Linked DNA regions of Anolis sagrei. The protein of the gene in region 2 interacts with the protein of the main gene of each other region in a biochemical or structural test. Links are inferred from orthologs where the notes say so. Each region holds a gene or a part of one and is shown on either strand. Other genes may lie near its edges.

Region 1 (7,204 bases), on a different chromosome or scaffold from region 2:
CCATCCCAACGCAATTTGGCTGTGTAATTGTGATGATGATGTATTGTAATATGTTTTAACGTGTAATGATAATGCATTGTGTGGTTTGTATTTTGTATATGAACACATGTTGTGAACCGGATCTGAGTCCCTCCTGGAGGTGAGAAGATCGGTATAGAAAACTTTTAAATAAATAAATTTGCTCTATTTACTGGGTTCTAGGGAAGTGCACTTGGAAAGCAGCAGACACAGGGCCTTTTCTATTTCTGCCCCTGCCTTATGGAATTCCTTGCCTCCCTATTTTAGAGCCATGCGTGATTCAGGGCATTTTATCCTAGCACTTAAGACCTGGCTTTTTAATAGAACATTTGAGCCATGTTAATTTTAGTATTTGTATGTATGTGTTTTATCCTGTATAATTTCTGCAATGTAAATCGCCTGGAGCATCTCGGATGGAGGGCGATTAATAAGTAATTAAAGATGATGGTGATGATTGTACTCAGGTCAAGAGGTTACAGTCGGGATAGCATATGGAGAAACTGGATGATTTCCAGTTGGCAATGTCCTTAGGCAAGGCTGCCTTTTATTACCCTATCTACTTAGAACACATTATTTGTAAAGGAGGCATAAAAACTGGAGAAATTGGCATACTCCTGTCAATTACAATTACCAAGCATCAACAATGGTCTCCCAAGTCATAGTCCAGTGTTCAGACCATTACACCACGGTGCCTCTTTTTTTATCTGGTTTGTTGCACAACCAGTTGGGAGAAACATCGACACAATTCAAGTTAGTTGTTCCTCTCCCCTAGTCATGTTCATTATGACTGTAAATAGCTCTCAAGGAACTTAGGCCCTTTCTACACTGCCATATAATCCAGATTATCAAAGCAGAAAATCCACATTATCTTCTTTGAACTGGATTATATGAGTTTCCATTGCCACTTCAAAACTTATCATCTGGATTTTATATGGCAATGTAGAAGAGGCCTCAGAGGGACAACTTTCAACCCACTTTTCCCTTGCAGTTTTGGGCAGAGAATGCAATCATAGGGTCTGCATGGTTCTCCAGTTTTTCTCCAAATATTTTGGCCGTCAACTCCCATAATCCTTGCTGCTGGGGCTTCCGGGAAATTAAGCCAAAAAGCATCCGGAGGTACAAAGATTGAAAACTATTACTTGAGTCTAGGCAGTTGTTTGCCTAACTGGCTGTGAAGCTAATATACTTATGGCATATTAGTCACTTACGTAATAACAATATACGTAAGAATTGGGCATGTGTAAGAACATGTTATATTGTTTCACCTACCCTGCATTCTTTACTCTGCAAGTTCTCAGGAAGCATTTTAAAGTTTTATGTTTTTGGATTTCTGCTTCTAGTTTACACTATTGTTTATTTTACAGAGCTATTTGCATTTCTTTAGGTAAATTAATTTCCCACAAGACTTTGAAACTAACCATGCCTTTCTGAAAAGGTTGCTAAAGCAAGCATAGTGAATGTGCAGTTCTCTAGACATTGCTGGACTGCAACTCCAATCACAGTCCTTACCATTGGCTATGCTGGCTAGGTTGATGGAATATATAGTCCCACAACATTTGGAGACCACACATTGCTGATCTCAGTTGTCTAACCTATGTCTCTCTGCAGTAACATTTTCTGCAATGAGTCAAAACTACACATTTGTATTTGTATGTCTATCCATTTGTCTACTCTGCCCTCTAATGGGCAACAGTGAGATGAGCTGCCCTAGTGTATCTATATAAATAAAAATGTAATGCTCATTTGTGGGATTAACAGAACTCAAAAACCACTGGGGGAATTGACACCAAATTTGGACACAAGATACCTAACAACCCATTATTCAAAAAAATTGATTTTGTTATTTGGGAGTTGTAGTTGCTGGGATTTATAGTTCACCTACAATCAAAGAGCATTCTGAACTCCACCAATGATGGAATTGGGCCAAGCTTAGCACACAGGGCTCCCATGACCAACAGAAAAACTGGAAGAGTTTGGTGGACATTGACCTTGAGTTTGGGAATTGTAGTTCACCCACATCCCTCCTGACAAAGAGCCATCCAGTCATAAATATAGATAGATAGATAGATAGATAGATAGATAGATACGATTCTCTCTCACACACAGAGATATAGTATCATAGATTTGAAAGACACCCTTAAAGAAGGGCAATGATATGTTGCATATTCCAGAGTAGGCAAACCAGACAGTTTGGTCCAGATCCATCATTGTTTGAGTCCACAGTGCTCTCCGGATGTAGGTGAACTACAACTCCCAAACTCAAGGTCAAACCCTTCCAGTGTTTTCTGTTGGTCATGGAAGTCCTGTATGCCATGTTTGGTTGAATTCCATAATTGGTGGAGTTCAGAATGCTCTTTGATTGTAGGTGAACTATAAATCCCAGAAACTACAACTCCCAAATGTCAAGGTCTATTTTCCCCAAACTCCACCAGTGTTCACATTTGGGCATATTGAGTATTCGTATAGAGTTTGGTCTAGATCCATCATTGTTTGAGTCCACAGTGCTCTCTGGATGTAGGTGAACTACAACTCCAAAATCAAAGAACACTGCCCACCAAATCCTTCCAGTATTTTCTGTTGGTCATGGGAGCCCTGGGTGCTAAGTTTGGCCCAATTCCATCATTAGTGGAGTTCAGAATGCTCTTTGATTGCAGGTGAACTATAAATCCCAGCAACTACACCTCCCAAATGACAAAATCAATTTTTTTGAGTGAAGGACATACATTGGGTTGTTAGGTGTCTTGTGTCCAAATTTGGTGTCAATTCCCCCAGTGGTTTTTGTGTTATGTTATTCCCACAAATGAACATTACACTTTTATTTATATAGACTAGCCATCCCTTGCCACGGGTTGCTGTGGCCCACATGGGGGTTCTGTGTGGGAGGTTTGGCCCAATTCTATTGTTGGTGGGGTTCAGAATGCTCTGTGATTGTAGGTGAATTATAAATTCCAGCAACCACAACTCCCAAATGTCAAGATTCTATTTTCCCCAAACTCCACCAGTGTTCACATTTGGGCATATTGAGTATTCTTGTAGACTTTGGTGCAGATCCATAATTGTTTGAGTCCACAGTGCTCTCTGGATGTGGAAGAACTACAATTCCCAAACTCAAGGTCAATGTCCACCAAACCCTTCCAGTTTTTTCTGTTGGTCATGGAAGTCCTGTATGCCATGTTTGGTTCAATTCCATCATTGGTGGAGTTCAGAATGCTCTTTGATTGTAGGTGAACCAGAAATCCCAGCAATGACAACTCCCAAATGTCAAGGTCTATTTCCCTTAAACTCCATCTGTGTTCATATTTGGGCATATGGAATATTTGTGCCAAGTTTGGTCCAGATCCATCATTGTTTGAGTCCACAGTGCTCTCTGGATGTAGGTGAACTAGCTGGAATGTGTCCAGAGGAGGGCGACTAAAATGATCAAGGGTCTGGAGAACAAGCCCTATGAGGAGCGCCTTAAAGAGCTGGGCATGTTTAGCCTGAAGAAGAGAAGGCTGAGAGGAGATATGATAGCCATGTATAAATATGTGAGAGGAAGCCACAGGGAGGAGAAGGGAGCAAGCTTGTTTTCTGCTTCCTTGGAGACTAGGACGAGGAACAATGTCTTCAAACTAACTACAAGAGAGGAGATTCCATCTGAACATGAGGAAGAACTTCCTGACTGTGAGAGCCGTTCAGCAGTGGAACTCTCTGCACCGGAGTGTGGTGGAGGCTCCTTCTTTGGAAGCTTTTAAACAGAGGCTGGATGGCCATCTGTCAGGGGTGATTTGAATGCAATATTCCTGCTTCTTGGCAGGGGGTTGGACTGGATGGCCCATGAGGTCTCTTCCAACTCTTTGATTCTATGATTCTATGATTTTATAGGGCTATGTGGAAGGACCCAAGAGCTGGGAAGCCTCTCTAAGCAGGAGAGTCTATTTATACCATTGGAAATTATTCCAAAGAAATTTAAGAGGGTTTATGGACACTTATGTATCAACATGGCGTTACGTCATCAATACGTGCCCTGCCTCGCGATTTTTAATTTCTTGTTGCTGTTCCTTTTCTTCTCTGTTTCCTGCGCCCGCCCGCCTGGCCTCGGCTCGAGCCAAGACCGCTCTTCCGCAGCGCTTTGGCGCCGGTGGTTTGCCGCGCGCTGATTGGCCGTTTTGAAAGCGGCGGCCCGTCCTTATTGGCGCGTTGGCGGCGGCTCGGCGCGGTTCATTTGAATCCGCCTCTTGCTCGGCTGCCTGAGGGAGACTTGCAGAGAGAGGAGCGCGGCGTGGGTCTGGAGGGGCAGCGCCCACGGATGAAGCACGGGTAAGGGGCGAGGTGGTGTTGGGGGACCCCCTTTTCGACACTCTCCAGAAAGCCACACTAGTTGGGAATCTCAGCCTCATGGAACACCGTTCAGACTGAGAGAAAGGAGTTGCTAGCATAGTTTTCCATGCATTGCAGCACCCAGAATTCCCCCAGCCATCTACTGCGTCTACACTGTGGAATGAATGCAGTTTGGCTCCACTATAACTGCCATGGAATCCTCAGAGTTGTCGTTTGGGCCCTTTTTGGCCTTGTAAAGACTCCAACTCCCACGATCCCTGGGCAGTTGAAGTGGAGTCCACATTTATTCATTTACTAGCTTGGGGACCCGGCGTTGCCTGGGTTATTAGAGAAAGTGGGTAATGGCGGTTCTGTATGCCAAGTTTGGTCTTTATTGGTCTTTGGATAACGGCTGCATTATTTTCAGGAAGTGAGTGAAGGCACTTAGTCCCATCATCCATGGCCCATCCTCCTCCAAACAGCAGCAGGATATAGAGTGGGTCATGGGGGCTCTGTGTGCCAACTTTGGTCTTGATTGGTCATTAGATGAGTTTTGCAGCAGTCTTGGGGAGTGGAGGTACTTGAAGTCCCATCATCCATTATCTGTCCTCCTCCAAACTGCACCAGGATGTAGAGTGGGTCATTGGAGCTCCATGTGCCAAGTTTAGTCTTGATTAGTCATTGGCGAGGGTCTCAGTGGTCTCAGGAAGTGAGTGAAGTGACTGCAAGTCCCATCATCCATTGTCAAATTCTTCCAAACCGCACCAGGATGTAGAGTGGGTTATGCTGGGTCTCTGTAAATTGTGCTCCTGATCCATCATTGTTGGCAGTTGTAATGGTCTTAGAAAGGGAGTGCAGGTATTGCAAGTCCCATCGTCCATGGTGCATCCTCCTTCAAACTGCACCTGGATGTAGAGTGCGTCATGGAGTCTCAGTGTGCCAATTTTGGTCTTTGTCGGTAATTGGATGGGAGTTGCAGTGGTCTCAGGAATTGAACAAAGGTACTGCAAGTCCCATAATCCATGGTCCATCCCTGGCCAAATCACACCAGATATAGATTTATTTACTGTATTTATATCCCCTCTTTCGAACCCCATAGGGCAGTGTTTCTCAACCTTCCTAATGCCATGACCGCTTAATACAGTTCCTCATGTTGTGGTGACTCCCAACCATAAAATTATTTTTGTTGCTACTTCATAACTGTAATTTTGCTTCTGTTATTAATTGAAGACAATTATGCTGGGGAAAGTGGAAGGTAAAAGGAAGAAGGGCCGACCAAGGGCAAGATGGATGGATGGCATCCTTGAAGTGACTGGACTGACCTTGAAGGAGCTGGGGGTGGTGACGGCCGACAGGGAGCTCTGGCGTGGGCTGGTCCGTGAGGTCACGAAGAGTTGGAGACGACTGAATGAATGAACAACACAACAATTAATTGTAAAGTGAATATCTGATATGCAGGATGTATTTTCACTCACTGGACCAAATTTGGCACAAATATCCAATACGCCCAAATTTGAACACTGGTGGGGCTGGGGGAGGGGTTGTCATTTGGGAGTTGTAGTTGCTGGGATTTATAGTTCACCTACAATCAAAGAGCATTCTGAAGTCCACCAGCAATGGAATTGAACCAAACTTGGCACACAGAACTCCCATGGCCATCAGAAAATCCTGGAAGGATTTGGTGGGCACTGACCTTGAATTTTGGAGTTCTAGTTCACCTACATCTAGAGAGCACTGTGCACTCAGTGATGGATCTGGACCAAACTTGATCTGGATACTCAAGATGCCGAAATGTGAACACTGGTGGAGTTTGGGGGAAACAGACCTTGACATTTGGGAGTTGTAGTTGCTGGGATTTATAGTTCACCTACCATCAAAGAGCATTCTGAACCCCACCAACAATAGAATTGGGCCAAATTGCCCACACAAAACCTCTATGACCAACAGAAATTACTGTTTTCTAATGGTCTTTGGCGACCCATCTGACATCCTCTTGTGTCCCGACCCCCAGGTTGAGAAACGCTGCCATAGGGGGAATCAAGGCGGATTACAAAATACTAATGACAAAAATTCAATGCCAACATACATGTAAAAAGAAAAAAAATCATTTTTTGTTGTGTCAGGAGCGACTTGAGAAACTGCAAGTCGCTTCTGGTGTGAGAGAATTGGCCGTCTGCAAGGACGTTGCCCAGGGGACGCCCGGATAATTTTGATGTTTTTATTATCCTTGTGGGGGGCTTCTCTCATGTCCCCACATGAGGAGCTGTAGCTGATAGAGGGAGCTCATCCGCCTCTCCCTGGATTCGAACCTGCGACCTGTAGGTCTTCAGTCCTGCCGGCACAGGGGTTTAACCCACTGCGCACCAGGGACTCAAAAAAAATCATAGTAACTAAACACTAACATATAGCTATGCATTAAAATCATTAAAACCACAAAATAGAAGGCATAAACAACATTTAAACATTAAGACAAAGCATTAAAAAACATTTTAGTATAAATATTAAAATAACACGATCCAGTTCAGGTTGAGTATTCCTTATCTGAAATGCTTTGGACCAGAAGTGTTGCATATTTTGAATCGTCCTGTATTTTGGAATATTTGCATATATTTAATAAGATATCTTGGTAACGGGATCCAAGTCTAAACAGGAATTCATTATACACATTATACATGTAAGGTCAATTATTACTTTAATAATTTTGTGTATGGTTACACTGAACACTCAGAAAACAAAAGGGTCACTATCTCAGCTGCCCTCATTGGACCCTCCTGGATTCCAAGGTATTTTGGGAAGGATTCATTCCTCAATGTCGATGCTACACAATCCTTTTGCATACTAGTCTTTTTTTTTAAAGAGTCCATGCATTTCCTTTTCCTGTTTGTGA
Region 2 (7,753 bases):
CAAATGTGAATGTTGCAATTGGCCACTTTGATTAGCACTGAATGGCTTTGCAGCTTCAAAGCCTGGCTGCTTCCTGCCTGGGGGGAATCCTTTGTTGAATGGTGTCAACTGGCTTTTTATTTTTATTTACTGTCCTCACTCAGCAACACTCAGAAAACAGGAATTCGAGGCATGAAACAATCCAGGCCAGCTAGCATCTCCCAACAAAGGAGTCCCCCAGGTAGGAAGGAGCCAGGCTTTGAAGCTGCAATGCCATTCAATGCTAATCAAGGTGGCCAATTGCAACATTCACACTTGCCTCAAACAGACAATGGTTCTTTCTCCCACCCTGGGCATTCCACAGATATATAAACCTTACTTGCCTAGTTTCTAACAGATCTCACAACCTCTGAGGATGCCTGTCCTACATGTGGGGAAAACATCAGGAGAGAATGCTTCTGGAACATGGGCATACAGCCCGGAAAACTCACAGAAATTCCAGGCATGAAAGTGCTGGACAGCGCAATACAGCTTTGTTGCAGCAGGACTAGCAATAACAAAATCTTAGAAGGGATAAAAAGAGTTCACTGTTAAAGATTGGAGAGAGAAAGTACTAGAGTATGTCCAAATGGCCAAGTGAACTAGTAGTAATAAAGGAGAGGAAATAGGAAGAATCTATATAAATAAAAATGTAATGTTTGTTGGTGGGATTAACATAACTCAAAAACCACTGGACGAATTGCCGCCAATTTGGACACAAGACACCTACTAACCCATGGAGTGATCATCACTAAAAAAATGATTTGCCATTGGTGAGTTGTAGTTGCCAAGATTTATAGTTCAACTACAATCAAAGAGCATTCTGAACCCCACCAACGATGGAATTGAAGCAAACGTGGCACACAGAACTCCCATGACCAACAGAAAACACTAGAAGAGTTTGGTGGGCATTGACCTTGAGTTTGGGAGTTGTAGTTCACCTACATCCAGAGAGCACTGTGGACTCAAACAATGATGGATCTGGACCAAACTTGGCACAAATATTCCATATGCCCAAATATGAACACAGATGGAGTTTGGGGGAAACAGACCTTGACATTTGGGAGTTGTAGTTACTGGGATTTATAGTTCACCTACAATCACAGAGCATTCTGAACCACACAAACGACAGAATTGGGCCAAACTTCCCACACAGAACTCCCATGACCAACAGAAAATACTTAAAGCCATCCAGTCCAACTCCCTTCACTAGAGCAAGAAAACGTAATCAAAGCCCTCCTGACAAAGAGCCATCCAGCCCTAGATATAGCTAGATATATATGATTCACACAGAGAGAGATATAGTATCATAGAGTTGAAAAGGATCCCTAAAAAATGACATGTTGCATGTTCCAGAGTAAGCAAACCAGACAATCTTTACATCAACACTGACAAAGAAACTGCAATAAATACTGTTTACCCACAAACATAAAGGAATTACATATATTAGAATCCAACACTTTCTCATTACTTTATTTTCCAGATCAACTGACTGGGCCACAGCAACACGTGGCAGGGGACAGCTAGTCTATATAAATAAAAATGTAATGTTCGTTTGTGGGATTAACAGAACTCAAAAACCACTGGACGAATTGACACCAAATTTGGACACGAGACACCTAACAACTCAATGTATGTCCTTCACTCGAAAAAAATGATTTTGTCATTTGGGAGTTGTAGTTGCTGGAATTTATAGTTCACCTACAATCAAAGAGCATTCTGAACCCCACCAACAATGGAATTGAACCAAACTTGACACACAGTTCTCCCATGACCAACAGAAAATACTGGAAGGGTTTGGTGGGCAGTGTCCTTTGGTTTTGGAGTTGTAGTTCACCTACATCCAGAGATTGCTGTGGACTTAAACAATGATGGATATGGTTCAAACTCTACACGAATACTCAATATGCCCAAATATGAACACTGGTGGAGTTTGGAGAAAATAGAATCTTGACATTTGGGAGTTGTAATTGCTGGGATTGATAGTTCACCTACAATCACAGAGCATTCAGAACCGCACCAACGACAGAATTGGGACAAACTTCCCACACAGAACCCCCATATTATTAAGGCCATCCAGTCCAACTCCCTTCACCAGGGCAAGAAAACGTAATCAAACGTAATCATGACAAAGAGCCATCCAGCCTTAGATATAGATAGATATATATGATTCACACAGAGTATCACACATATAGTATCATAGAGTTGAAGAGGACCCCTAAAGAAGGACAATTTGCATGTTGCACGTTCCAGACAATCTCCACATCAACATTGACAAAGAAACACTGTTTACTCACAAGCATAAAAATTACATATATTAGAATCCAACACTTTCTCATTACTTTGTTTTCCAGATCACCAGACTGGGCCACAGCAACGCCTGGCAGGGGACGGCTAGTTTGTAAATAAACGGAGGCTGGCATTTGGAAAGGAAGACAAAGTTGATTTGAAAGTAGCCACAAAGGGAACTTCTTAAGACAAGATGGCAATGGCAGCGACTGTCAAAAGGGGAACTTCAGATCTGGATCTTTTCCAACAACAGCAGCAGCAGAGCAACAACTTTTGAAACTTTTCCTGTCATTGTAACACAGGCATGGTCCAACTCCGGCCCTCCTGGTGTTTTGGACTTCAACTCCCACAATTCCTAACAGCCGCTAGCGGCTGTTAGGAATTGTGGGAGTTGAAGTCCAAAACACCAGGAGGGCCAGAGTTGGCCCATGCCTGTTGTAAGGTCTTTGAGGAGAAGACCCCTTCCCCTCCTACTTGGGCTTCCCTTGGGATGAACAAAAGCCCAGTGGGGTGGCAGCCGCTCTCCTTCTATGGGGGAAAAGGCCAAAAGAGAGGGGGACGGAGGGCACTGACCTGGCTGTGGCCGCGGGCTCCGGCTCCGCCTTCCTCGGGGGCCTCGTGGGCGCCATCTTGGGCGCCTCCAAGCCCCTCAGCGGCGGCGCCCCCTCCCTCTCCTGCGCGCGACAGCCAGCAGCCAACCGGCAGCAGGCCTCGCGAACCGCGGGAAAGGGCCTCGCGCCCGCCGCAGACGTCACTTCCTGCTCTGGAGGGCGCGCGGAGCTTCCCTTCACTGGTGGCCAAGAGAGGAGAGAAGCAGGTGCTGAAGGCGGGCTTGGTTTGGACTCTTCATAGTTCCCCCTTCCACCTGGACAGAAGTGTCAAGCTGCATATCCTATCACTATAAGCAAACCTTGTTTTGTTTTTGTTTTTTGCCCTCCCATTTTCTCACGGTGTTCCCAATGGCAAGGGTATTGTCCAATTCCATTACGTTTTCAAGGGCAGCCCCATGTAGAGCGCATTACAGTAGTCCAATCTGGAGGTGACTAAGGCATGGACCACCCTGGCCAGATCCGCCTTCCCGAGGTACGGTCACAGTTGGCGCACAAGTCTTAATTGTGCAAAGGCCCAGTGTATCTATCCGAACGGATCTCCCTCTACGTCCCACCCCAGAGTCTAAGATCTTCTGGGGAGGCCCTGCTCTCGACCCCGCCTCTATCACAAGTGAGATTGGCAGGGACGAGGAGCAGGGCCTTCTCGGTGGTGGCCCCCCACCTTTGGAATTCACTCCCCAGGGAAATTAGATCTGCAACACCGCTCCTTTACTTTAGGAAAAAACTGAAAACATGGATTTGGGACCAGGCATTCGGATAATCGGGCAGATAAAAGGACTTGACAATGATTAGGAAATGATTAATGGAATAGAATTATGGAACTCTGAAAGACGAAGCGCTGAGCATGAGAATAGTTTTTTTTATAGTTTTTATATATGACATGTTATGTACTGATTGTTTTTATTGTTTTTAACTGCAATAATTGTTTTAGCCATGGTTTTGTATATTATGTGTAATTTGTATAGGCATCACATTGTGCCTTCTTTGTAACCCTGAGTCCCTCCTTGGGGGTTGAGAAGGGCGGGGTAAAAGTAACCTAAATAAATAAATAATAAATAAAGGCCCTCCCGGCCACCGCCGACGCCTGAGCTTCAAGCATAAGTGATGAGTCCAGGAGGACACCCAAACTGTGGACCTGTGACTTCAGGGGGAGTGTAACCCCGTCCAGCACAGGTTGCCACCCTATACCCCAATCTGGTTTACAATCTACCAGGAGGACCTCTGTCTTGTCGGGATTAATCTTCAGCTTGTTCTTCCTCATCCTGGATTCACAGCTGACAATGGAAGCTCAGGTCGCTGCTGCCAGCAAACAGGCCTTTTTCCATCTACGACAAGCGAGGCAACTGGCACCCTACCTATCTGACGAGGCACTGGCAACTGTCATCCATGCCACGGTAACGTCTAGGCTGGACTATTGCAACGCCCTGTATGTGGGCCTTCTGATGTCTACGACCCGAAAGCTTCGTATTGTTCAGAATGCGGCAGCCAGGTTACTCACAAGAACGCCCATGAAATGCCATATAACACCAGTGCTGCAACATTTACATTGGCTTCCAACTGAGTACCGTGGCCTGTATAAGATGTTAGTTCTGACCTTTAAAATTCTTTACGGCCAGGGTCCATCGTACCTTAGGGACCGCCTCTCCTCCCATCATCGGAGATCGCAACAACCAGCCCAACGTGACTTACTCCATATACTGGGTCCTAGAGAAGTGCACTTGGAAAGGATCAGATGCAGGGCTTTTTCTATTTCTGCCCCTGCCTTGTGGAATTCCTTGTTGCCCTACATGAGAGCCATGCGTGACTTAGGGCCTTTTACTCTCACACTTAAGACCTGACTTTTTACTAGAGCATTCGATGAGACTGCTGTCAGTTGGGCAACGAAACAAGACGGGAAACTTGGTGGTTCCCATCCCACCTGTTTTTCAGTTGTAAACTTGTTTGTAAAGTGTAATAAGAGGTGGGAACTCTGAACATGATTGAAGGCCCGTGTTCAGAGTTCCCTCCTTTCAAGACACTTGTACCTCTTTTCAACCACTGAGGACTATGCATGCCAGACTGCTGCAAAATTTATTCTTGAGACTAGTAACGTTTAAGTATGTTTTCCTTTTTATCTGTGACTTTTTGTTGTATGGGCCTGTGTTGTGATTTTGTTGTTGTATGCCAATAAAGGCTGTATGTGTGATTTTGCCATTGTATATCCTGATTTTGTTATCCAGTGGGGTCCTGGAACCAAATCCCAGTGGATACCGAGGGCCCGCTGTACTCCGTCTCACTGCTTCTTAAACTGGGTCCTGGCCTCAAATGGGATCCCACTAAAGACACAGGTTCACAGCTTGGGAGTGATCCTGAACTCGTCGCCGAGCCTGATTAGTTCTCAATACATGTTCAATTTTTATACCTATTTCATATACCCTACATACCTAGGGTCATGTCAAGCATTGTTGAAAAGGTTTAAGAAGCCCTGTACTGTCCTGTTTAGATGTCCCCTCCCATCTGCCAAAGGAAGAACATTCCCTATTATCCAGAGAAATATCTTTCTCATCTTGGTATCTAACAAACCTGCCAGATACTTTGGAAATTACAATCACGGAGGAATGAAAGAAGCATAAAAAGTAGTAGATTCATAAATCTGAATGGTGGAAATCCCATTGCTATCTCCTTGAGCTTCTGTAGTCGGATTAGTTTAGCTCTATCATATCTTAGACCCATAGAATCGTAAGAGTTGGAAGAGACTGCAAGGGCCATCTCGTCCAACCTCATTCTGCCATGCAGGAACACACAAAGCAGTCTCAGCAGATGGGCTTTCTTTCAGCCTCTATTTAGAATTATAGTATCATAGAGTTGGAAGAGACTGCATGGGCCATCTAGTCAAACTCTGTGCCATGCAGGAAAAGCACAATCAAATCAGCCCAGACATATGTACCCATTGCTCTGGCCCGGCCCAGTTTTATTGTTTCCGGGTGCACTGTTTATTGCTTGTTGTTTAATATTGCTTCAACTGTTTTTAATTTGCTTTAGGTTGTGTATTGTTATGTTGTGTTTGAGGCCTTGACCTTTGTAAGCCGCATCGATGCTAGCGGGGTACAAATAAAGATAATAATAATAATAATAATAATAATATGGCCTCCACAGAAGGATTCCCCCAGGCAGGAAGCAGCCAGGCTATGAAGCTGCAAGGCTATTTGGTGCTAATTAAGGTGACCAATTGCAACATTCACACTTGCCTCCAAAAGACAAGATTCATACTCGTAAATAATAGAGCTGGAAGAGACCTCATGGGCCATCCAGTCCAACCCTCTGCCAAGAAGCAGGAAAATTGCATTCAAAGCACCCCCGACAGACGGCCATCCAGCTTCTGTTACAAAACTTCCAAAGGAGCCCCCACCAGACTCCGAGGCGGAGAGTTCTACTGCTGAACAGCTCTTACAGTCAGGAAGTTCTTCCTAATGTTCAGGTGGAATCTCCTTTCCTGCAATTTGAGCCCATTCCTCCATTGAGTCCTAGTTTCCAGGGCAGCAGAAAACAAGCCTGCTCCCTCTTATGACATTCTTTCACATCTTTATACATGGCTACTAACTGCCCCCTGCCACACGTTGCTGTGGCCCAGTTTCTGTATATGTGCTTTGTGTGTATATAAGTGTGTTTGCATGTATGTGTGTGGTTTGCGCATGCGCTGTAGCATCTTTTTGGCTTTTTTAGTCCTTTCCGCTGTGTTTCACAGTGTTTTTATGAGTGATGGTCACTCGCTGGCCTGATAGGTATATTGTGTCCAAATTTGATGTCAATTCGTCCAGTGGTTTTTCAATTATATTAATCCCACAAACGAACATTACATTTTTATTTATATAGATTGTGTCTATTCTCAACCTTTACTTCGGCAGGCTAAACATCCCTGGCTCTTTAAGTCACTCTCATAGGGATTCATGGTTTCCAGACCTTTGATCCTTTCAGTCGCCCTCCTCTGAACACCTTCTAGCTTGTCAATATCCCTTTTGATGGAAACACAAACAATCCCACCAAAGCAGGTAATAGCTCTGTTTTTCATCCATGGACCTGAGCCCAGGTTCTCCAATACAAACAAAATGTATTCTGAAATCTGCTACAAATACTTTTTAAAAATGTATCAGTGGAAGTGGTATCATGGGAATATTCAGTCATGATGGTGAAAGAGATACAGAATCCAACAGGTACATGACCTTATTTTTTATTTAAAATTGTATTATTTGCTTCAACTAATAGCCATATGACATATTTTATAACATCTAATCTCAATTCTAATCTAAAATATTATTAAGGTTAAAATTCAGTAGTCCTATGTTAAGCATCCTAGAGAAATTCGCCATGTAAAAGAAAATGTGAAAAGAAAATGGACAAACTTTTAGACAAACAGGTTTGTAATATTTATTTTCCATTGCACATACATAGCTTATATACATCTCAATAACACAAAGTTACTGCTCAATTTTGTTACAGCAGACACCTATATTAGAACAGCCGTTTGGAAATCAAATGTAAAAGTAATTGCATTAAAAAAAATAAGAAATTGCACTTTTATTATAAATCATTTTCTGAATATGCTGTAATCAACCACATCACTAGTAATATGCTGCTAAAAATCTAAAGTGTCATAGTCTGTTTATTTTTTTTTTAATCAGAAGATATTATTCTATCAAATTTTATTTTAAGATGAGATGCACTATTGACCTGGTATTTTTTCTAGGTCCGTTTCTTGTAATGCACTAACTAAGATTTTATACAGCTGCTATTCAAACATATAAAAAGGACACTATACTTCAAAATATGAAAAAGAGGGTGTGTCTTAAGATGAAAAA
Region 3 (7,269 bases), on a different chromosome or scaffold from region 2:
TATTCTCACACTCCTTCGAACTCTGAATTCCAAACAGTCAACCCGATCTAAGGTTCCCATTTCATCAAGGTCAGTCTGTTCGTTAGTGTCCGCCTGTTTCCCTGCTTGCTCATTATCAGACTGAGAACTGTCCTCCTTCTCTGAGTCAATCTGCACCTGGCTATTTTCAGTATCAGCACTCTCATGCCTTGCTGTGGGAAAGTGCACTTCTTCACTGTCTATAACAGGGACATTTTGAACCAGGCTGTGAACCTGAGTCACATCATCCTCATCGGAGGCACTCTGTGGTTCCAGCTGAGTCACTCCCTGCCCTCAATCCCCTTTTGCCAGGCTGCCCAAAACTCACCGGCTGGTAGGTCTCCGCCCCGCAGCGGTCGCAGGAGTAGGTGGCCACCACCATCCGGGGCTTGACCTCTGAGGCGCGGGTCACGATGCCCCGGACGGTCACCAGCTTCCCGATGCAGTCGGCCTTCACCTCACGGATCACTCGGGGCTTCATCCCGGAAGGAGCCTTGAAATAGAGCTCGCTGTTGGGGGCACAGGAGGAGCGTGAGAGGGGCAAAACGGGGAGGCTGGAGTTGGAGGTTTTGGAGAAGTTATGATCTTTGCAAAGGCACGACCTTGTTAGAAATCATAATCTTTTGGGAAATGGCATTCATGCAAGACAATTATGTTTTGCAGCTGTTAAAACTGATATACCTAGTTTTTGAACTGTTAGGGACAAAGATATGCCAATGCACAAAAACGTATACATAAATATGTATATCTAGGGCCCTAAGATTATCTGAGGAGACCCTGCTCATTGTCCCCTCATTGTCGCAATCGCGTCTGGCGGGGACAAATGACAGGGCCTTCTCTGTGGTGGCCCCCCGTCTGTGGAACTCCCTCCCGAGTGAAATTAGATCTGCTGAATCCCTCTTGACCTTCCGGAAACAAGTAAAATCCTGGCTATGGGATCAGGCCTTTGGAGAATAGGCTGACTTACTGACGTGTTGACTTATTTAGAACTGATCAAGTGCCCCTGGATAATGATTTAAATTGGTGATGGCTGACTATTTGTTGTCTGTTCTTATAGTTTTATATTGTTTATGGCTTCCCCACCCCTTCCCCCCTGACCCCTCCCCTTTTGTGGGCGGGACTCACAATCTGCGCATGAGCTCTGCGGGGAAGTTGTTCTGTGGGGGGCGGGACTGCGCAGCCCCCCTTTCCCCGCCTCCTCCTCGGCGCCCTTCCAGCAGCAGCCGGTGCTCCAGGTAGACGTCCAGCGCATCCTTGTGCACAATCTAGGCAGAGCGGAAACACAATATTATTAGCCTTCTATATTTTCCTATCTCTGGCATCCTCCTCCATCAGAATTCTGGGAAATGTAGTTCCAGGCTGCGTTTTTTATTTTGCTATTCCCGGCCTAAGAGGGAATGGCAAAGGACTACATTTCCCGGCATCCTCCCCGCTGTGCATCCTGACCTCTCTCTGCTGGAATATCATATTATATGTATAGACAATATATTAAATTATAGAGTATCATATTATGTGTCTATGCAAAATATATTATATTACAGAATATCATATTATGTTTCGATGCAAAATATTATATTAGTGAATATCATATTATGTGTCTTTGCAATTATTATATTACAGAATATCCCATTATGTGTCTATGCAATATATTATTATAATGCCATACTACATATCTATGCAATATATTATAGAATATCATATTGTGTCAATGGAAAAATTATATTTCAGAATATCACGTTATATGTATATGCAATATATTACAGAATATCATATTATGTGTATGCAAAATATTATATTATATTTCAGAATATCATATATGCATATGCAATAATATATATTACAGAATACCATATTACGTATCTATGCAATATACAGGGTTAGTCAAAATGAATAGGCCAATTCGGGTACAATTAATTCTCTTATTGGCCTATTCATTTTGACTAACCCTGCAGATATCACATTATATGTTCATATAATATATATTTCTAAATACCACACGTATATACAATATATAATATATCAGAATATCATATTATATATATATATATATATATATATATATATATATATACACACAACATATATTAGAATATCATATATTTATATACAATATATTATACAGGGTTAGTCAAACTGCATAGGCCAATAAGCCATTCAATTGAATGGCTTATTGGCCTATTCATTTTGACTAACCCTGTATTATAATACAGAATGTCATATTATATTATCAGCATAGCACAGGAGACAAGGGAGAACTTTAGTGTCCTCCCCCCCTAAGAATTCTGGGAAATGTAGTTCCAGGCCGGTTTTTGGTTTTTTGGGGGTCTATTCCCGGCCTAGGAGAGAATGGCAAAAAGACTACATTTCCCAGCACCCCCTTGGTTGTAAGGAGTGCTGACCTCTCTCTGCTTGTAGGCGGGCAGGAGCCGGGCGGCGGCGTCGGCGAAGAGGCGCTGGTAGCGGGGGGCGTTCTCGCAGGCGGCCTCCGCCAAGGCCGGGTCCTCCTCGGCCACGTCGTCCAGGTCCACCCGCAGCGTGGAAGCCTCGCGGTGCGCCAGAAGGGTCTGCCCAGGAAGGGAGAAGGTTAGCAAGGGGTGGGAGCCTCCGGGGAACTCTCCCCGCCGCCTCGGGCACGGACTCACCAGCTGCTCCCGGTAGGGGAAGTGTTTCCCGGCCTGGTCCGAAGGGAGAGAAGAGGAAGAGCTGGAGAAGAATCCCTCCAGGAAGGACGCCGCCTTGTCTGATAGGAAAACAGGAAAAGAAGCGTCAGGCAAAGGGAGAGAGAGGCCTTTCCATCTCCTCCCCGCCGCTTCCTCGCTGCCCTCACCCATCTCGGCGTCGTAGTCCCCGCGTAGGCCCAGCTTCTCGCCTTTTCCCGACGCCATCCTGCCTTCTCTTCTTCTGACTGCTTTTTCCCGCGCGCGGGAAAAGGCGGCGCTGCTCCGATTGGCCGGCTCCACACGACTCAGCCAATCCCCGCCCTCCTTTCTGTCAATCCCCGCCCTCCTTCCTTGTTAGCCACGCCTCCATCTCGCTCTGGCTTTTTCCCGCGCTAGTCAAGATTGACATAATCCGATTGGTCCGCGCGGTTCCATCCCACAGCCAATCCCTGCTCGGGATTGCGCGAAAGGGAGGAGACTCTTCCACAGCTCCCACATACGTGACGCAACACCTCGGAACCAATCCCTGCTCGGCTTTGGAAGTAGAGGGCGGGGACTCGATTCAATAGGCCACGCCTCTATGTGAAGCAACGCCCCGCAGCCAATCCTTGCTTGGCTATGCAGAAAGAGGCGGAGACTTGCTCTTATACAGGCCACGCCTCTACGTGAAGCAACGCCCCGCAGCCAATCCCTGCTCGGCTATGCAAAGAGAGGCGGAGACTTATCCGTATGCAGGCCACGCCTCTCCGTGACGTAAAACCCTCAACCAATCCCAGTTCGTCTTTGAAGGGAAGGGCGGGGAAATTTCTTTATGCAGGCCACGCCTTTACGCCCCGCAGCCAATCCCTGCTCGCGTTTGAAGAGAAGGGCGGGGACTCGTCGTTCTCTAGGCCACGCCTTCAAGTGACGCACAACTCCGCAGCCAATCCTTGCTCGCGTTTGTAGAGAAGGGCAGGGACTCTTCATTCTCTAGGCCACGCCTTTAAGTGACGCAGCACGCCACAGCCAATCCCTGCTCGCCTTTGCAGGCAGGGGCGGGGACTTGCTGTTATACAAACCACGCCTCTACGTGACGCAACACCTTGCAACCAATCACCGCTCACATTTGCAGAGAAGGGCGGAAACTCTTCCTTGTGTAGGCCACGCCTCTACGTGACGCAGCACCTCGCAACCAATCACCGCTCGTCTTTGCAGCGAAGGGAGAAAACTCTTCCTTGTGTAGGCCACGCCTCTACGTGACGCAGCACCACGCAACCAATCACCGCTCGCCTTTGCAGGCGGGGGCGGGGACTTGCCGTTATACAAACCACGCCTCTACGTGACGCAGCACCTCGCAACCAATCACCGCTCGCCTTTGCAGGCGGGGGCGGGGACTTGCCGTTATACAAACCACGCCTCTACGTGACGCGACACCTCGCAACCAATCACCGGTCACATTTGCAGAGAAGGGCGGAAACTCTTCCTTGTGTAGGCCACGCCTTTACGTGACGCGACACCTCGCAACCAATCCCTGCTCGTCTTTGCAGAGAAGGGCGGAAACTCTTCCTTGTGTAGGCCACGCCTCTACGTGACGCTACATTCCTCAACCAATCCCTTCTCCCTTTATCACTGAAGGGTGGAGACTCTTCCTTGTGCAGGCCACGCCTCTAGGTGACGCAGCGCCTGTGAGCCAATCCCAGGCGGGAGGGGCGTGACCTCCCACAGGCCACGCCCCCTCCCTAGTATTTTGCTTCTTCCAGGAAGTAAGGCTAAAGAGAGTGCTCCGGGGCGTGTGCAGAGTGTTTCCTGGAGGGCCGAGGATGATCTCGGAGGTGTTCGTGCTCTCCTCGCAAGGGGACCGGCTCCTCTACAAGGACTGTATCCTTCCTGAAGGGCAGAAGGGGAGAGACTTACTTACTTACTTACTTAGGCGATCCCTCGTTGGACGAGTAAGATGGTCTTCCTTGATGACTATTTTTGTGGGTTTGTAGGTGGCTGTGGAGCCCTCTTCTTGACCCACATCTTCTCCCACAGTGAAGGCATCAGTTTCCAGGTGGAAGGCGGTCCCGGTCGGGGTTGGCTTGACGCGCCTTCCTCCTGGCACGTTTCTCTCTTTCACCCTCCACTCGTGTCTCCTCAAATTCTGCAGCACTGCTGGTCACAGCTGACCTCCAGCTGGAGCGCTCAAGGGCCAGGGCTTCCCAGTTCTCAGTGTCCATGCCAGAGTTTTTAAGGTTGGCTTTAAGCCCATCTTTAAATCTCTTTTCCTGTCCACCAGCATTCCGTTTTCCATTCTTGAGTTCAGAGTAGAGCAACTGCTTTGGGAGACGGTGGTCGGGCATCCGGGCAATGTGGCCAGTCCAGCGGAGTTGGTGGCGGAGAAGCATCACTTCAATGCTGGTGGTCTTTGCTTCTTCCAGCACGCTGACGTTTGTCCGCTTGTCTTCCCAAGAGATTTGCAGGATTTTCCGGAGGCAGCGCTGATTGAATCGTTCCAGGAGTTGCATGTGACGTCTGTAGACAGTCCACGTTTCGCAGGCATAGAGCAGGGTTGGGAGGGGAATAGCTTTATAGACAAGCACCTTGGTATCCCTACGGATGTCCCGGTCCTCGAACACTCTCTGCTTCATTCGGAAAAATGCTGCACTTGCAAAGTTCAGACGGTGTTGCATTTCAGTCTCAATGTTGACATCTGTAGACAGTCCACGTCTCGCAGGCATAGAGCAGGGTTGGGAGGACAGTAGCTTTATAGACAAGCCCCTTGGTCTCCCTACGGATGTCCCAGTTCTCAAACACTCTCTGCTTCATTTGGGAAAATGCTGCACTTGCAAAGCTCAGACGGTGTTGCATTTCAGTCTCAATGTTGACATCTGTAGACAGTCCACATTTCGCAGGCGTATAGCAGGGTTGGGAGGACAATGGCTTTACAGACAAGCACCTTGGTATCCCTACGGATGTCCCGGTCCTCAAACACTCTCTGCTTCATTCGGGAAAATGCTGCACTTGCAAAGCTCAGACGGTGTTGCATTTCAGTCTCAATGTTGACATCTGTAGACAGTCCACATTTCGCAGGCATAGAGCAGGATTGGAAGGACAATAGCTTTATAAACAAGCACCTTGGTATCCCTACGGATGTCCCGGTCCTCAAACACTCTCTGCTTCATTCGGGAAAATGCTGCACTTGCAAAGCTCAGACGGTGTTGCATTTCAGTCTCAATGTTGACATCTGTAGACAGTCCACATTTCGCAGGCATAGAGCAGGGTTGGGAGGACAGTAGCTTTATAGGCAAGCCCCTTGGTCTCCCTATGGATGTCCCGGTCCTCAAACACTCTCTGCTTCATTCGGGAAAATGCTGCACTTGCAGAGCTCAGGCGGTGTTGTATTTTGGCGTCGATGTTGACTTTGGTGGAGAGGTGGCTGCCAAGGGAGCGGAAATGGTCCACATTTCCTAATGTTACACCATTAAGCTGTATCACTGGCATTGGAGAGGGATTGGCTGGTGCCTGCTGGAAAAGCACCTTGGTTTTCTCAATGTTCAGTGAGAGGGCGAGCTTCTCGTATGCTTCTGCGAAGGTGTTTAGAGTGGCTTGTACGTCTTCTTCTGAAGGGGAGGGACAGTGGGGGAGGGCCCTGGTCCCGTTGCCCTCCTTGACCCTCTGCGCACAGTCCGTGGGGAGGGCCACCCCGGCCTCGTGGAGGACTTCTTCCGGAAGGTGACGGCGCTGCCTCCTGACCAGGCCCCGGTCTTCATGGTGAGAAGGGGGTCAAGGCCAAGGGGGAAGCACCGGACGTCACTCACCCTCTGACGTCACACCCTCCCTTTCTCCTGCAGGAGGCGCATCCCCCGGGGCTCCACTTCGCGCATGTGCGTCATGGGGGGCTCTACTTCGTGGCCACCATCCCTTCCAAAGCTTCACCTTTTGCAGCACTGGAGTTCCTCAACAGGTCAGTCGGGGGCGGGGCTTGGAGCTAGGCCACGCCCACTGCACAGCTAGGCCACGCCCCTATGCATGGGACAACTTGGGCCCTCCCTCTCTCCAGGTGTTGTGGACTCCAATTCCTACCTTCCTAACACTTGGAAGGAGGTCCTAAGTTGGCCCATGCCTGGCTAAATCCTACATCAAGGCCAGCTCACACCCCACAACAAAGGATTCCCCCAGGAAGGAAGCAGCCAGGCTTTGAAGGTGCAAGGCTACTCAATGCTAATCAAGCTAGCCAATAGCAACATTCACACTTGGCTCCAACAGATTATAGAGTTCTCTCTTTCTCCCATCCTTGACAACATTCCACAGATATATAGATATATATATATATATATATATATATATATATATATATATATAGGATTCCCCTGGACAGGAAGCAGCCAGACCTTGAGGCTGCAAGGCTACTCAATGTTAATCAAGGTGGCCAGTAGCAACATTCACACTTGCCTCCAACAGATTATAGAGTTCTCTCTTTCTCCCACCTTTGACAACATTCCACACACACACACATATATATAGGATTGCCTCGGGCAGGAAGCAGCCAGGCCTTGAAGGTGTAAGGCTATTCAGTGCTAACCAAGGTGGCCAATAGCAACATTCACACTTGCATCCAACAGACTAGAGT
Region 4 (6,855 bases), on a different chromosome or scaffold from region 2:
TAATAATAATAATAATAATAATAATAATAATAATAATTCCACACAGCTGAATAAAATCCCACATTTTCTGCTTTGAGCTGGAATATATGGCAGAGTGGACTCAGATAACCCAGTTCAAAGCGGATATTGTCGGATTTTTCTGCCTTGTTATTCTGTATGGAAGGGCCTGAGTCCACACTGCCATATAACCCGGCTCAAAGCAGATAGTGTGGGATTTTATACAGCCTTAGGTCCCTGAGTCCCCTTTGGGGAGATGGTGGCAGGGTATAAATAAAGATTATTATTATTATTGTAAGCCGCACCGAGTCCTTCGGGAGATGGTAGCGGGGTACAAATAAAGGTTTATTATTATTATTATTATTATTATTCCACATAGCTGAATAAAATCCCAAATTTTCTGTTTTGAACTGGAATATATGGCAGTGTGGACTCAGATAACCCAGTTCAAAGCAAATATTGTCGGATTTTTCTGCCTTATTATTCTGAGTTATATGGCTGTATGGAAGGGCCTGAGTCCACCCTGCCATATAACCCGGTTCAAAGCAGATAGTGTGGGATTTTATACAGCCTTAGGTCCCCGCGTCCCCTTTGGGGAGATGGTGGCAGGGTCTAAATAAAGATTATTATTATTATTATTATTAAAACATCAATTCATCCGGGTGCCCCCTGGGCATCGTCCTTGCAGACGGCCAATTCTCTCACACCAGAAGCGACTTGAAGTTTCTTAAGTCGCTCCTGACACGACAAAAATATTATTATTATTATTATTATTATTACTATTATTATTATTCTACACAGCTGACTAAAATCCCACATTTTCTGCTTTGAACTGGAATATAAGGCAGTGAAGGTTCAGATAACAGTTCAAAGCAGATACTGTGGGATTTTTCTGCCTTGATATTCTGGGTTATATGGCTGTGTGGAAGGGCCCAGAGTCCCCAAACACAAAACTGGAATGGATGTAAACTACAAAGAGCAGCTAGCCTCCTCTTCCTGCCTCCTGGAGACAACAAAAAGTAGGAAATCTTTATGTTTTATGTAATTTATCAAGTTATTGTGTATGTTTTGATTTTAGTTATTGCATTGTGTTGCTGGGCTTGGCATCATGTAAGCCGCCCCGAGTCCCCATTTGGGAGATGGAGGCATAAATAATAATAATACTTTATTTGTACCCCGCTACCATCTCCCCAAGGGACTCGGTGCGGCTTACATGAGGCCGAGCCCAAACACAACAATACAAGCAATAATAACAACAATACAAGCAATTAAAAACATATAGACAATAAGAGACACAACATTAAAGATTATTATTATTATTGAATCCCCTTGCTTCTCTGCTTCTATTGCTATTAAAAACGTTGGGGGAGGCCTAGTTTGACAGGAAAAACGAAATGCAAAGATACAAAATGGGGGACAATGCCTGGCTCGAGAGCAGTACGTGTGAAAAAGATCTCGGAGTCCTCGTGGACAACAAGTTAAACATGAGCCAACAATGTGATGTGGCGGCAAAAAAGACAAATGGGATTTTGGCCTGCATCAATAGGAGCATAGTGTCTAGATCCAGGGAAGTAATGCTACCCCTCTATTCCGCCTTGGTTAGACCACATCTGGAATATTGTGTCCAATTCTGGGCACCACAATTCAAGAGAGATATTGACAAGCTGGAATGTGTCCAGAGGAGGGCGACTAAAAGGATCATGGGTCTGGAGAACAAGCCCTATGAGGAGCGGCTTAAGGAGCTGGGCATGTTTAGCCTGAAGAAGAGAAGGCTGAGAGGAGATATGATAGCCATGTATAAATATGTGAGAGGAAGTCATAGGGAGGAGGAAGCAAGCTTGTTTTCTGCTTCCTTGGAGACTAGGACGCGGAAGAATGGCTTCAAACTACAAGAGAGGAGATTCCATCTGAACATGAGGAAGAACTTCCTGACTGTGAGAGCCGTTCAGCAGTGGAACTCTCTGCCCTGGAGCACGGTGGAGGCTCCTTCTTTGGAGGTTTTTAAACAGAGGCTGGATGGCCATTTGTCAGGGGTGATTTGAATGCAATATTCCTGCTTCTTGGCAGGGGGTTGGACTGGATGGCCCATGAGGTCTCTTCCAACTCTTTGATTCTAAAGAGAAGAAACCTGAGACGAACAAAACTTGACACCTTAAGTTATTTTCTCGCTTTTGGAGATGATTGACAGCCAAACACCCAACTTGTGCTGCGTGGCAGGGCAGCCAAAAGAAAAGAACGCAGAGGCAGAAAGAAACAGAAATTAGCAATAATAACAACAACATATTGATGAGCATCCATTCCAATACTGAAAAAAAAAAGTGGAGGCAGTTAACAGGCCCAGGACTGGCCAAGCAATGGAGGGCCCTTCCACAGAGACAACATCAAGGCTGGCCATCCCACAATATCTGCTTTGAACTGGGTTATCTGAGTCCACACTGCCATATAATCCAGTTCAAAGGTGATAATGTGGGATTTGATTCAGCTGGAAGGTGCTCATTTTATTCAGATGCTCCCCTATCAGCAAAGCAGGCCTTCCAATCCTTCAAGAACACACAGAATTTGATAGGGGAGGAGTAATTATGGTGTAATTATGTTAAATGAGGGGAAGGTGTCCAGGAAGGCCTCAGAAGGCCACCTTTCCCTTTAAGAGACCCCCTTCTTTCTCCTCACACTCTCCCTTCACTTCCCTCTGAAGGAGAGAGACGAAGAAGAAGGGCGAAACCATGTCTAAAAAGGAGGGGGGGCTGAGGAGGGAGAAACCATATACAAAATGGAGGGGGGGGCTCGAAAGACCAGTACTCTCCCCCTCACTGAGGGTGCTTGCCCCCCCCCCCCAAAGCTTGAATTGGGGTCGTGGGGAGCAGGGGCCTCACTCACCGCCTGCGCAGCTCCTCGGGGGTCAGCGGGGCGGCCCGGGCGGGCATCTCGGCAGGAAGGAAGGAAGGAAGGCGGCGGGCAGGGAGCCGGAGGGCGGCCGAGAGCGGTTTCGCGCGCACCGGGGAGGAGGGGGAGGAGGGAGGGGCGGGGCCGGAGCTGGAATGAACCATCCGGCATTAGGCCCGGGGGGGGGGAGGCAAGAGGAGGTCTCTACTTCGGGCCTTCTCAATGCATGGAGTGGGGGAGACCAAGTAGACAACGGAGGGGGTGCTTGTTTGTATTGATGTGCCTTTATCGAGGTTTGGTGACTCCATACATTTCTTAGGGCTTTCATACTTCATCACACACTAGAGAGAATGAATCCACTTTCAATCTGGTTTCTGCCTCCTGCAGGATTCTGGGGTTTGTAGTTTAGGGATGCTGTTCTAGGCTCCTCCCTAAACTACAAACCCCAGAATTCTGCAGGAGGCAGCAACCGGGATTAAAGTGGATTCATTCTCTAGTGTGATGAGGTCCTTATAGAAAAGTCAGAGGTCGCTTTGATCATTTACAAAATGCAGACCATAACTCTGTAGCTCTGTGCATGGCAGTGAGAGAAGTGCGCGTGTGTATATATGTAATGACTGTATATATAGAGGGGGACCAGTCACCAGCCATCCCCTCTCCAATGCCAGAGATACAACTTAATAGTGTAACATTAGAAAATGTTGACCATTTCCGCTACCTTGGCAGTCACCTTTCCACCAAAGTCAACATCGACACCGAAATACAACACCGCCTGAGCTCTGCAAGTGCAGCATTTTCCAGAATGAAGCAGAGAGTGTTTGAGGACCGGGACATCCGTAGGGAGACCAAGGTGCTTGTCTATAAAGTTATTGTCCTCCCAACCCTGCTATATGCCTGCGAAACGTGGACAGTCTACAGACGTCACATGCAACTCCTGGAACGATTCCATCAGCGCTGCCTCCGGAAAATCCTGCAAATCTCTTGGGAAGACAAGCGGACAAATGTCAGCGTGCTGGAAGAAGCAAAGACCACCAGCATTGAAGCGATGGTCCTCTGCCATCAACTCCGCTGGACCAGCCACGTTGTCCGGATGCCCGACCACCGTCTCCCAAAGCAGTTGCTCTACTCCGAACTCAAGAACGGAAAACGGAATGTTGGAGGACAGGAAAAGAGATTTAAAGATGGGCTCAAAGCCAACCTTAAAAACTCTGGCATAGACACTGAGAACTGGGAAGCCCTGGACCTTGAGTGCTTCACTTGGAGCTCAGCTGTGACCAGCAGTGCTGCAGAATTTGAAGAGGCACAAATGGAGGGTGAAAGAGAGAAACGTGCCAAGAGGAAGATGTGCCAAGCCAACCCCGACTGGGACCGCCTTCCACCTGGAAACTGATGCCCTCACTGGGGGAGAAGATGCAGGTCAAGAATAGGGTTCCACAGTCACCTACGGACCCACCACCAGTACACCAAACTTGGAGGACCATCATAGAATCAAAGAGTTGGAAGATACCTCATGGGCCATCCAGTCCAACCCCCTGCCAAGAAGCAGGAATATTGTATTCAAATCACCCCTGACAGATGGCCAGCCTTTGTTTAAAAGCTTCCAAAGAAGGAGCCTCCACCACACTCTGGGGCAGAGAGTTCCACTGCTGAACGGCTCTCACAGTCAGGAAGTTCTTCCTCATGTTCAGATGGAATCTCCTCTCTTGTAGTTTGAAGCCATTGTTTCATGTCCTAGTCTCCAGGGAAGCAGAAAACAAGCTTGCTCCCTCCCCCCTGTGGCTTCCTCTCACATATTTATTGTTGTTCATTCGTTCAGTCATCTCCGACTCTTTGTGACCTCATGGACCAGCCCACGCCAGAGCTCCCTGTCAGCCGTCACCACCCCCAGCTCCTTCAAGGTCAGTCCAGTCACTTCAAGGATGCCGTCCATCCATCTTGCCCTTGGTCGGCCCCTCTTCCTTTTTCCTTCCACTTTCCCCAGCATAATTGTCTTCTCTAGGCTTTGCTGTCTCCTCATGATGTGGCCAAAGTACTTCAACTTTGTCTCTAGTATCCTTCCTTCCAGTGAGCAGCCGGGCTTTATTTCCTGGAGGATGGACTGGTTGGATCTTCTCGCAGTCCAAGGCACTCTCAGAACTTTCCTCCAACACCACAGTTCAAAAGCATCTATCTTCCTTTGCTCAGCCTTCCCTAAGGTCCAGCTCTCACATCCGTAGGTTACTACAGGGAATACCATGGCTTTGACTAGGCGGATCTTTGTTGCCAGTGTGATGTCTCTACTCTTTACTATTTTATCAAGACTGGACATTGCTCTCCTCCCAAGAAGTAAGCGTCTTCTGATTTCCTGGCCGCAGTCTGCATCTGCAGTAATCTTTGCACCTAGAAATACAAAGTCTGTCACGGCCTCCACATTTTCTCCCTCTATTTTCCAGTTGTCAATCATTCTTGTTGCCATAATCTTGGTTTTTTTGATGTTTAGCTGCAACCCAGCTTTTGCGCTTTCTTCTTTCACCTTGATTAGAAGGTTCCTCAGCTCCTCTTCGCTTTCGGCCATCAGAGTGGTGTCATCTGCATATCTGAGGTTGGGATGTTTATATATCATCCTCGGACTACGAGGGATCGCCTAAGAAGAGATGTGTGTGTGTGTAATGACTGTATCTATATATATATATATAGAGTGTATGTATATGTATGTATGTATATATACTGTATATATCAAATGTCTATGTGTTTTTATAGTGTGTAGATATGTGTATGTATATATATACATACATACATACGTAATATGTAGGCATAAGTGTGTTTATATACTGTGTGCATATATGTTAGTGTGTAGATATGTATCTGTATGTGCTTTTATATACATACTATGTGCATATATGTGTAAGTGCATGTCCATCTATGTGTGTATATGTGTTATGTCTCTTCTGTAATCTGTAAGTAAACTTTATTACGGTTGGTGACCAGATCATAACGGGGGGACCCAGTCCCGCACATCCACGTCAAACCCAAGGGGTTATATGCTTCAAACTTCAACAAATTTAAAAATCTAGGCTAAAAACCACATAACCCACAAATTTTAAAATCTAGGCTAAAAACCACATAACCCAACTCAACCCACAAGATCATTCGAAGGCAGTCTAAAAGGATGTAGTGGGGATGGTACCCGGGGGGGGGGGGGGGGATGATATCCAACACTATAAGTATCATTCTATATCCAATTTCCCATCTATAGTTATTATAGATCAAAATGTACTCCTTACAGACCAAATGACCTCCTAACCTCCTCAAAACCCATCTCTCTCTTGCATTTCCTAACATGGCCATTGGCGACTGTTGAAAAGCATAAATGGCAGAGGATTACCTGTCTATACCCTCTACCCAGATGCACAGTGATGATGGTGTCATGCCCGGGGACCTCCAGAAGACTCTTGAGATATTCTTCAAGATTCTTTGTCACTATGTGTTGTGTCCAGCTATCAGAACACAGCTGGATGCTCCTGCATCATCCCCTGGGCTCCATAGGTCACTAAGTAGCAATGGTGAGAAGGAAGCAAGAAGGAACATCCCATGGGAGATCATTCTTCCTGGGTAGAACTTTACAGGCTCCATAGAAGATTGTTGTAGTAATAATAATATTTATGTATTTATAGCCTGCCCTGTCTCTCCGAAGGGACTCAAGACAGCTTATAAGAAAATAAAACACAGTTACATTCAATGCCAAAGGTACATATAAACAAACCATTAAATATTATAAAATCAGTAAAAATTATAGGTGATTCTATGATTCTGTCTCCTTTGAAGTGGATTGTATGGCAGTGTAAAGGTAAGATAAAGGTTTTCCCCTGACATGAAGTCCAATCATGTCCGACTGGGGTGTGGTGCTCATCTCCATTTCTAAGCCTAAGAGCTGGCATTGTCTGTAGACACCCCCAAGGTCATGTGGCTGGCATGACTGCATGGAGCGCTGTTACC

The links.
Region 1: of the proteins of RB1 (region 2) and CDK1, one has a biochemical effect on the other in vitro, tested with the Homo sapiens proteins (8 studies listed by BioGRID). The link is inferred for Anolis sagrei from reciprocal best matches to the Homo sapiens genes RB1 and CDK1.
Region 3: the proteins of RB1 (region 2) and MCM7 form a complex in vitro, tested with the Homo sapiens proteins (2 studies listed by BioGRID). The link is inferred for Anolis sagrei from reciprocal best matches to the Homo sapiens genes RB1 and MCM7.
Region 4: the proteins of RB1 (region 2) and DNMT1 form a complex in vitro, tested with the Homo sapiens proteins (2 studies listed by BioGRID). The link is inferred for Anolis sagrei from reciprocal best matches to the Homo sapiens genes RB1 and DNMT1.

The regions. Positions count from the first base shown.
Region 1 is NC_090023.1:165,444,661-165,451,864, forward strand, and holds the start of CDK1 (cyclin-dependent kinase 1), read left to right. Parts: upstream 1-4,201; 5' UTR 4,202-4,317; intron 4,318-7,204. UniProt on the Homo sapiens protein: Plays a key role in the control of the eukaryotic cell cycle by modulating the centrosome cycle as well as mitotic onset; promotes G2-M transition via association with multiple interphase cyclins.
Region 2 is NC_090021.1:150,193,416-150,201,168, reverse strand, and holds the start of RB1 (retinoblastoma-associated protein), read right to left. Parts: upstream 3,023-7,753; 5' UTR 2,937-3,022; coding exon 2,881-2,936; intron 1-2,880. UniProt on the Homo sapiens protein: Tumor suppressor that is a key regulator of the G1/S transition of the cell cycle. The hypophosphorylated form binds transcription regulators of the E2F family, preventing transcription of E2F-responsive genes.
Region 3 is NC_090024.1:246,955,095-246,962,363, forward strand, and holds the start of MCM7 (DNA replication licensing factor MCM7), read right to left. Parts: upstream 3,003-7,269; 5' UTR 2,904-3,002; coding exon 2,846-2,903; intron 2,759-2,845; coding exon 2,661-2,758; intron 2,583-2,660; coding exon 2,418-2,582; intron 1,284-2,417; coding exon 1,144-1,283; intron 528-1,143; coding exon 347-527; intron 1-346. Other genes in the region: AP4M1 (AP-4 complex subunit mu-1), read left to right, coding at 4,478-4,535, 6,325-6,410, 6,491-6,603. UniProt on the Homo sapiens protein: Acts as a component of the MCM2-7 complex (MCM complex) which is the replicative helicase essential for 'once per cell cycle' DNA replication initiation and elongation in eukaryotic cells.
Region 4 is NC_090022.1:172,053,355-172,060,209, reverse strand, and holds the start of DNMT1 (DNA (cytosine-5)-methyltransferase 1), read right to left. Parts: upstream 3,013-6,855; 5' UTR 2,922-3,012; coding exon 2,875-2,921; intron 1-2,874. UniProt on the Homo sapiens protein: Methylates CpG residues. Preferentially methylates hemimethylated DNA. Associates with DNA replication sites in S phase maintaining the methylation pattern in the newly synthesized strand, that is essential for epigenetic inheritance.